Linked DNA regions of Neurospora crassa OR74A. The protein of the gene in region 2 interacts with the protein of the main gene of each other region in a pairwise test. Links are inferred from orthologs where the notes say so. Each region holds a gene or a part of one and is shown on either strand. Other genes may lie near its edges. The genes, in order: NCU06110 and NCU02391.

The links.
Region 1: the proteins of NCU02391 (region 2) and NCU06110 interact in a two-hybrid assay, tested with the Schizosaccharomyces pombe proteins (2 studies listed by BioGRID). The link is inferred for Neurospora crassa OR74A from reciprocal best matches to the Schizosaccharomyces pombe genes sec24 and thi2.

What each region holds. Positions count from the first base shown.
Region 1 is NC_026507.1:1,764,068-1,768,307, forward strand, and holds NCU06110 (thiazole biosynthetic enzyme), read right to left. Parts: upstream 3,072-4,240; 5' UTR 2,473-3,071; exon of another isoform or gene 2,391-2,472; 5' UTR 2,372-2,390; exon of another isoform or gene 2,043-2,371; 5' UTR 2,021-2,042; coding exon 1,084-2,020; intron 1,019-1,083; coding exon 921-1,018; 3' UTR 394-920; downstream 1-393. Other genes in the region: NCU06111 (GTPase Ras2p), read left to right, coding at 1-55. UniProt on the Schizosaccharomyces pombe protein: Involved in biosynthesis of the thiamine precursor thiazole. Catalyzes the conversion of NAD and glycine to adenosine diphosphate 5-(2-hydroxyethyl)-4-methylthiazole-2-carboxylic acid (ADT), an adenylated thiazole intermediate.
Region 2 is NC_026507.1:2,660,163-2,664,684, reverse strand, and holds the start of NCU02391 (protein transporter sec-24), read left to right. Parts: upstream 1-1,715; 5' UTR 1,716-2,127; coding exon 2,128-2,754; intron 2,755-2,813; coding exon 2,814-4,522. Other genes in the region: NCU02390 (hypothetical protein), read right to left, coding at 1-60, 143-165. UniProt on the Schizosaccharomyces pombe protein: Component of the coat protein complex II (COPII) which promotes the formation of transport vesicles from the endoplasmic reticulum (ER).

The DNA.
Region 1 (4,240 bases), about 900 kb from region 2:
GAGGAGAAAGAGGGGCAGGGCAACCAAGTTGTTGAAGTCGTTGAGGTGCTGGTAAGACCAGAAGGACCGGAAGGAAATGAGTTGTTAGCACGAGTGGGAGGGCTCAGGTTGGCTTGGCTTCGTTCACGCTGTTAATGCTTCTTTTCTTTCTCTGTTGCTGCTGCTGCTGCTGCTAGGCGAAAGTTGATGGATATCGGGTTGTATACCTTGGGGCTGGACCTTGGCTCACCCGCCTTGATTCATGGGAATCGGACTTTTTGCTACTACTGGAAAGGAGGACTGGGATCGGAGTCGTGGAGCAGGAGTTTATTGGTCGGTCGGCAATGTCTTCTTTCTGTTCCTTTCTTTTTTCCGCTGCAGGCGACTCAAAAAGGGAGAGATACCAAACGATGGGACTTACGTACCAGTTTATCAACCTTACTACTACTATGTTATGTCTTCTTGCATTCCCTCGATATCTTGTCGCTTTTCCCAGGCCTGTACTTGTGTTGCTTGACCTTGTCATGCACTGTTGAAGCTCTCTTGTCCACGACGCGACATCGCAGCCGTCAAGCTGAGCAGAAGGATGACCGTTGATGATTTGGGGTCCGGCAGGACATTGTTACATTTTCAATGCCATATCCTCTCCACCGCCCCAGAGGTCACTTCTGCGCGACTTGCAAAAGCAAAGGTTTATTTGTTCCTGCTTCACGGGATTTTCGGACATAAAAGATGACAAGATGACTTAAGAGGTGCGTCAAGACGATTTTGGACTTTAAACGGCTATCTTAAGCATAAAGAGACCAACAGAAGGGACTGTACGTTCAAGAATTCATTGGATCCAAATGGACACGAACAAAGTTTAAACTCAAAAGATTCAACAAATTGCATGCATAAATCCTCCCCCATTTTAGTTACTACTTCCAACGTCTTGAACAGGCTTAGCACTTGTCGTTCTGAGCCTTGCGGAGGTCGAAGACGCGAATGGCCTCGTGGGCAGCCTTGACACCGCTGAGAGCCATGGCTCCGAAGGTAGGTCCTGTGGTTGGCCAGGGTTAGCATATGCAACTCAGATCAACTGAAGTAGGGGATAGTTCAACATACCCATGCGGTTGGCACCGTCAATCTCCGACAACTCCATACCGCCAACGATCAGACCCGGGACGATCTCGCGAGTGTTGTTGACAATAGCATCCTCGGCGGATTGCATATCGAGCCCGCGCATGCCGTTCAGGCGCTCCATCTGCTTCATGCTGACCAAACGCTTGACGGAGAAGGCACCAAAAGGACCATCGTGGCCCGTGGTGCTGATGATAACTGGGGCGTTGATGGTGTTGGGGTCCATGCAGCTCTGATCATCGTGATGCATTGACACGAGGGTCCAGTTGGTCACCACACCGGCAATCCTCACCTTGGCCTCGTCCTCGGCCTCGCCATCATCCGATGACGACGAAGACTCGGCGTGGTGCTTCCTGGTGATCAAGTCCTCGACGGTCGTGGCATTGAACAGCTTGACGTTGGGCCTCTGCAAGACCTTGCTCAGCACAGTCGAAGTGAACAGAGCGGCATGCTTGACCACCACGTAGTCACCCTCATCTTCATACGGCACGCCAACCTCGTCCAGGAAGACGTCGGCAGGCTTGCGCATCACCATGGCACTGAAGAGCTGTCCGCCCAACCAAGCGCCACCTCCCGGGGCGACGCCTGCTTCGACGATAGTGATGCGCAGGTCGGGCCGCAGGGTGGACAAGACGTAGGCGGCCGAGAGACCGCAAGAGCCGGCACCGACAATGACAATGTCGGTCTCGGCGTGGGCGTCCAGGTCAGCGAAGTAGCGGCGGGTCATGGCGCGCGAAACGGTAGATTCGCGAATGGGGGAAAAGGTGAAGGCGTCAGTGCCGAGGGTGGGCATGAGCTCCAGAAGAGGCTTGGACAAGCCCCTGGCATCACGCTCGACGGGAGCATCGTTCCTGCCTACGGCCTTGAGACCGACGTTGACAAGAGTGGGGACGCTCTGCGGCTCGAGAACAGAGGGAGACATGGTGATGATGGATCAGAGTTATCTGGGAATGTTAGAATGACTGTACGGGAGAAGGGGGGAGCGGGGGAGGAAAGTTGAAGCATGATCCTTTCGCTGGTATTATCCAGATCAAGTTCGTCGCCGTATATTCTCAGCCTGTACTTCTCCCCTGGGTACAGGTGCTAGAAGCGACCTAATACCCAGGACAGAAGTTGGCACCGGCTCATGCATTCAGATAGTTACCTCTGAAAGTATGTTTGAACGTGATCGAATCATGGTATAATCAACCAGCCGATGGGGAGTTCATGGCTTCAGCTCCTCCTGGAACGATGGTTTGTGGCCATCTTGGTGGAGGAGGTGGGTGGTCTGTACCCTGGTGTTGAGAGTCTGTCTGCTTGCTTGAGGGTGTTAGTATATCAACACCATGGGGGAGAGGAGACAGATGAAGCCCGAACAAGCTTGGTGATACTTGCGTGTTGGTATTTATTGCTGGTAGTCCTTGGAACGAAGACAGAGGTTGTTCGTTGATTCTGACGATGGGAAGAAGATGGGAAAGAATGGAAGAGAAGAGGCAGACTTTGTGTAGGGGAGCTGTTGCCCTTTTTATCGTTACTTGAGGCAAGTAAGGTAAGCGAGGTGGGTGCACATGTACCTACGCGACTCCCCTCCTACTCCCGGTTCAGTTCGAGCTGCATCCCGTCCCCTCTCCCCCTCGCTTGCATCCTTTTGCCCCTCTTGCCCCTCTTTCTTTTCCAACACTGCATCGTACACACTGACGGGAAGTATGCGGTTATCTGAACATGCCACACCTTCCATCATCCCATGCATCCTCACCACGAATGGTTATTTCGCCTTCCTGTTCCCCTCCTTTGCCCAAGTTTCACGGCATCGGCGATCCTCCGATCATGACCCAATGTCAGCCCGAGACTATCAAATCGTTTTCAGTTGTCGAAGCTATCAATATAGTTACCCCTCTTCATCTTGTCCGTGTCCAACATTAGAGGTTCGCTTGTTATCTCGATCCTCGACAGTGCGCGGCTTACAGACATCAATGCGTGGGCCGAACACCCCACTCTTCGGTGTCGGATGGACTCGCTGATGGCGTGAACATGAGGAAAGCAAAAATGAATGAACCGGCTAACTACGCTCAGCTACGGTACAACAGCAATTGAGGTCGCAATTTCAAGCAAGAGCTGCAGCTCGCTAATGATAGCGTTGGATGGGTGGTAGCACCGTTAACGCGGGACAAAGTCCGACACCTTGCCGACGCCGAGAACATTAACGGCCCGAACGTTCCCTTCCCCTTCTTGGCTACTACCCGTACTACGCCCCCACTTTTTTGGACCTCGTAGAACTCGCACCCCCTAAAGTGGGTGCTCACGGGTAATACGGCCACACCAGTAAAACGGCCACGTACATCTTGAACCTCAATATATTATAACGATTTTGAGTTTCCTATAATCCTCTCTCTTTATACTACCACAACGTCGTATCGCATTAGGGATAATCGCTGTCAATATGGAGGCACGTTTGCAACGAGCGGTCGCTTTTTATTACGATAATCCCGACGTCCCCGTCACCCATTTGTGCAAGACATTTGAAGTCCCCCGCAAGCAACTCTACAATTACATTAAAGGGATCCCAACTAAGAAGGGTACGCCCGTACTATACAAGTAAAAGCTTACTCTAGTTAATAAGAAGGTTCTATATAACTATATCGACCGTTTCGATAGAATTAACCTCGCTGTACGACCGTTGTATATTAAGGATATTGCAGATCTACTACTTCGAAGTAAGGCTCCTAAATCGGCCGACTCTAACAACGAAGAAATACCCCGCATTAGTATTAATTGGGCAATACGGTTTATTAAGCGCTACGAATATTCTAAAGTTAGGCAAAAGAAAATAGATAGTACCCAGAAAGATAATAAGGATATAAATAAGGTAAGTCCGTTATATTAATATTATTTATATAGGTAACGATTAATAAATAGTATAATAAGTAATAGTATACTTCGAGAAGCTCTATTAAATTATTTTATTAGAAGGCTTTATACCGTCGGATATATAGAATATAAATAAGACTAGTTTCTGTATTGGTATAGGTAAAGACTAGCTTGTTATTATAAAGCGGAAGCGAACCTACTACTTTGCTATCCCCGAGAATTGTAAATTAGTAATGTGTATTGAAGCTATTGCTGCTAATAGAGAGTACTGCCTGGGCTTTATTATCCTTACCGG
Region 2 (4,522 bases):
TAGACAACGAAACTGATGCCGGCCACTACGACTAATGTGAGTATGAGGGGAAGGATCTGGCTGGTTTTTGTTAGCCTCCGTTGTTTGGTTTTATTGCTTGACGTTGTCTCGCGCAAACGCGAAGTGAGATATGGTGTCATACCTCCAGGCAGATGAAGGTGCCATTTTCGGACTCCTGCGATTTTCAAGGTTGCGGCGTGAGTTTTGTTTATGGCGAGTGTTGTCGAGCTCTACGAAGGCAAATAAAGGGAATATTCCGGCAAACTGGGTGCCGTTCGCTACTGTATATACTTCGCTTTTGGGTGTTTCTCGTCGAACACAGAGTAGTGGAGCACGTAGTGTGAGGTGTGTAGTTGCCAAATGGGGAAATCGTCTGACTTATCAGTGGTGGCCGGGTCCCAAGATCCTGAGGTCTCGCTCGAAGAAGGAAGGAGGGAAGATATCTCGATATGTTGATGATCCGAGTAGAGTCTTACCAAGCTGATAGTAGGTAGGCTGCGAGTAAGATGTAATGTTTTGATAGAGGCAGAGTCGAAGCAGTGGTACTCGGTGAAGAGGTATCCGTGGCACACAAGCTAGGTGGGATGAAGATGACGAAGTGGTGAGTGAGAAGCACAGAAAGGGTTCAGGTCACAAAGTACTGCGGAATCATAGATATACATAGTATCAGCCCCTGAAAAGTGCAACCACCCCCAAGTGTAAAACTCCCCCGAAGTGCAAATAATCCGTCATGGCCGCCGGAATTATCTCCGCATACAACTCCTGCCAACTGCGAAGACTACTTGGCCCCGGATTTGCACTTGCAGGGGTCAAGACTTGGTAGTAGCAAAGGACATAGCCGACTGGGCACTGGGCTTTGAAGTGAGTCATGCCGGCTTGTTATGGTAGAGTGTTCGGGCATCTCCTAGTGGCACGGTGGGAGCTTTGGAGGCAGTGCAAATGGTAAAAAGTACATCGGATGCGGAATGCAATAACCATATATATATGATCGCACGTACCCCTAAGGAAGGTACATACCTCTCCCAGATATCCACTGTGCCGATATTGCCGAGATTCACTGGATTGCGATGTTCATACCATGTATGTCCCCGTCTCGTCCGTTAGGTTCCTCCACCCCTATAGGAATGTTCGGCACGTTGCTGGGCACCCTGAGTGGGTGACCAGTGATGTTTGGGGACGTGCGACTTGGTTGAAGTCTTGGTTTCCTCAAAACGCCGTGCCCACCGTCCCGCTGAAGCTCCCTCGAGGTCCCCAGCCGTCCGTCATAAGCTCAACCTCGCGTTGGGGAAATTTGTCTGTCTCCAGCTACAGATACAGGAACAAGCAACAAATGAGGGTGTGCGAATTTGAGAACCCTCTCGGTTATTACTTGTCCAAGGGGTTAGGTGAAACACATAATGACCTCCATCGGAACTTGGGGTGTAGGGAATTGCATTGGTGTATGAAGTTAGAGGTGGTTTGATTATTGAAGTGTACTAAGTACTACGATGTACGCAGTAGAGGCCTGAGCGTCACGTGCTGCGTATATCTGGAGATGAAAGTATGTAAGTTACCAGTTTTCTGACCTTACCGTAACATTCCGTTCTATGGGGCAGTGGTGTACCTCGAGCTCTATGCGTTTAACGTGCAGCGCATTGTCCAACACCTTCGATCCCGCTGTCACTCTTCAGAGGTGCGGCAATACTGACTTGATACCTAGGTAGGTACGAACCATTACCCTGGCTGCCTAGCCCCAGCCTGTGTGGATACTCCCGTTGGTACCTACTCCGCCCAAAGCGAGGCAGCTAAGGCCAGTCTGGCTTCCCAGTACCTACCTCTAGCATAGCTCCTGTCCTCCTGATTGATAAGTCTGATAGGTGGAGAGGCAGCCCCTCGCCGCCCGGCGCCTGATGCTGTCTGTTGTCGTAAGTCGAGAGCTGTCAACTTCGACTCCCAACTAAGCGCGCCTCAAAAGCTCCCCATCACCAACTCCACCGTCCGCCGCTACGCAACACCCACGACTTGTCCCCTGACTCCTTTCGCCGTTCCTCTCGCGTGCCACAAGCGTCGTCGATATATCCATCAACAGGTCCCGGCCATTAATCTCTCCCGCCTCGTCAGAGACCCAAGCAGCGGGCGACAAACACCATGGCGGCTCCTCCTCCCAACGATGGCTACGGCCAGTATCCCCCTCAGCAGTACGGCGAGCAACCCCAATACCCTGTCGAGCCCGCCCAACAAGCATATGGTAGCCCGGCCTCTCCTCCGCCGGCGGCCGCCTCCCAGCACGGCGCCGAGCATGGCAAAAAGAAGAAGAGAGCATACGCCGCCCAGGCCTTCGAGGTTGCCACAGGAGGCAATGCCGTAGTAGGCGGACAGCCAGCAGCAACACAATACGGGATCCCTCAGCCAGCAGCACCGGGATTTGGTGGATATCCGGCGCAAGATGCCCAACAAGTGGCGTACGGCGCTCCGACAACACCGTACGGCGCGCCTCAGCCTGCCGTGCCCGGAGTCGGAGGCTATCAGGCCCCTGATCCCTACTACTCCCAAGGTGTTCCTCCGGCCGCCGTTGGCCCTGCCCCCGGGGGTGTTGCCGGTATTACCGCCGGCATCCAGTCTATGGGCTTTGGAGGACAGCCGCAGCAGCCGCAGCAACTTCCTGCCCAGACGAGGGGTCTTGTGAACCAGCTTTATCCCACCGATCTACTCAACCAGCCCTTTAATGTTGCCGAACTAGAGCTGCCGCCTCCCCCTATTATTCTTCCCCCTAATGTAAGCTCTCTGGCTTCTCGACTTGTGTTACGTGCACACTGCTTACTTTTTGCTGCTAGTCTAGCGTTACCCCTTCCCCAGATGCCAACTGCGCGCCAAAGTATGTGCGATCGACCTTAAATGCCGTACCCACCACCCACTCGCTGCTCAAGAAAAGCAAGTTGCCCTTTGCGCTCGTTATTCAGCCATATGCAGCTCTTCATGACTTGGACGATCCGGTTCCAGTTGTGCAAGACCAAGTGATCTCGCGCTGCCGAAGATGTCGATCCTACATCAACCCATTCGTGACCTTCCTTGACCACGGTCACAGATGGCGTTGCAACATGTGCAACCTAACCAACGATGTTCCCCAGGCCTTTGATTGGGATGCGGCGGCCCAGAAGAGCGTGGATAGATGGCAAAGACCTGAGCTTAACCATGCGGTGGTTGAGTTCGTTGCGCCGCAGGAGTATATGGTCAGGCCTCCCCAGCCTCTGGTCTATCTTTTCTTGTTTGATGTCAGCTACGCGGCTGTCTCCACAGGTCTCTTGGCCACCAGTGCAAGGACAATTCTGGATAGCCTCGACAGGATACCGAATGCCGATCGCCGCACCCGTCTTGGATTCATCGCCGTGGACTCAAGCCTGCATTATTTCTCAGTCCCGAGAGATACGGAGGAAAATGGCGAGACGAGCATGCTTGTGGTCAGCGATCTGGATGAGCCATTCCTCCCGGTTCCGGGCGAGTTGCTGGTCCCCCTCACCGAGTGCCGCCAAAACATCGAAAGCTTCCTCAACAAGCTGCCCGAGATGTTTGCGAACAACCAGAGCAATGGAAATTGCATGGGGTCAGCTCTCAGGGCAGGTCATAAGCTTATCGCCCCTCTCGGCGGCAAGATCGTGGTGCTGAGCTCATCTCTGCCCAACGTGGGTTACGGAAAGCTCGAGATGAGGGAAGACAAGAAACTTCTCGGCACGTCCAAGGAAAGCGGGTTGCTGCAAACCGCCAATTCGTTTTACAAGAGCTTTGCCGTGGAATGCTCCAAGAACCAAGTGTCTATCGACATGTTCCTCTTCTCTTCCCAGTATCAGGATGTGGCCTCCCTGAGCAACCTCCCGCGGTACACTGGTGGTCAAACATGGTTCTACCCGGGATGGAACGCCGCTAGGGCCGAAGACGCCGTCAAGTTTGCGTCCGAATTCAGTGACTACCTGTCGTCTGAAATTGGCCTCGAGGCCGTCCTCCGTGTTCGCGCTACTACTGGACTGCGGATGAGCACATTCTACGGCAACTTCTTTAACAGAAGTTCCGACTTGTGCGCTTTCCCGGCTTTCCCCCGTGATCAGTGCTATGTCGTCGAGGTTGCTATTGATGAGAACCTTACCAAGAATTTCGTTTGCTTGCAGACAGCGGTACTACATACAACCTGCAATGGTGAGCGTCGCATTCGCGTCATGACTCTGGCTTTGCCGACTACCACCAATCTTGCCGATGTGTACGCCTCGGCCGATCAATGCGCTATCGCTACCTACTTCAGCCATAAGGCGGTTGAAAAGGCCCTTGGAAACTCCCTGGATGCGGCAAGGGATCTCCCTCAGCAGAAGCTCACCGAACTTCTGCAGACCTTCAGGAAGGAGCTGGGCGGAGGCAGTATGGGTGGCGGCCTTCAGTTCCCGTCCAACCTCCGTGGCCTCCCTGCCCTCTGCCTGGGCTTGACCAAGCATGTTGGTTTGAGGAAGTCGGCCCTCATTCCTTCGGATATTCGCTCTGCTGCCCTCTGCCAGCTCTC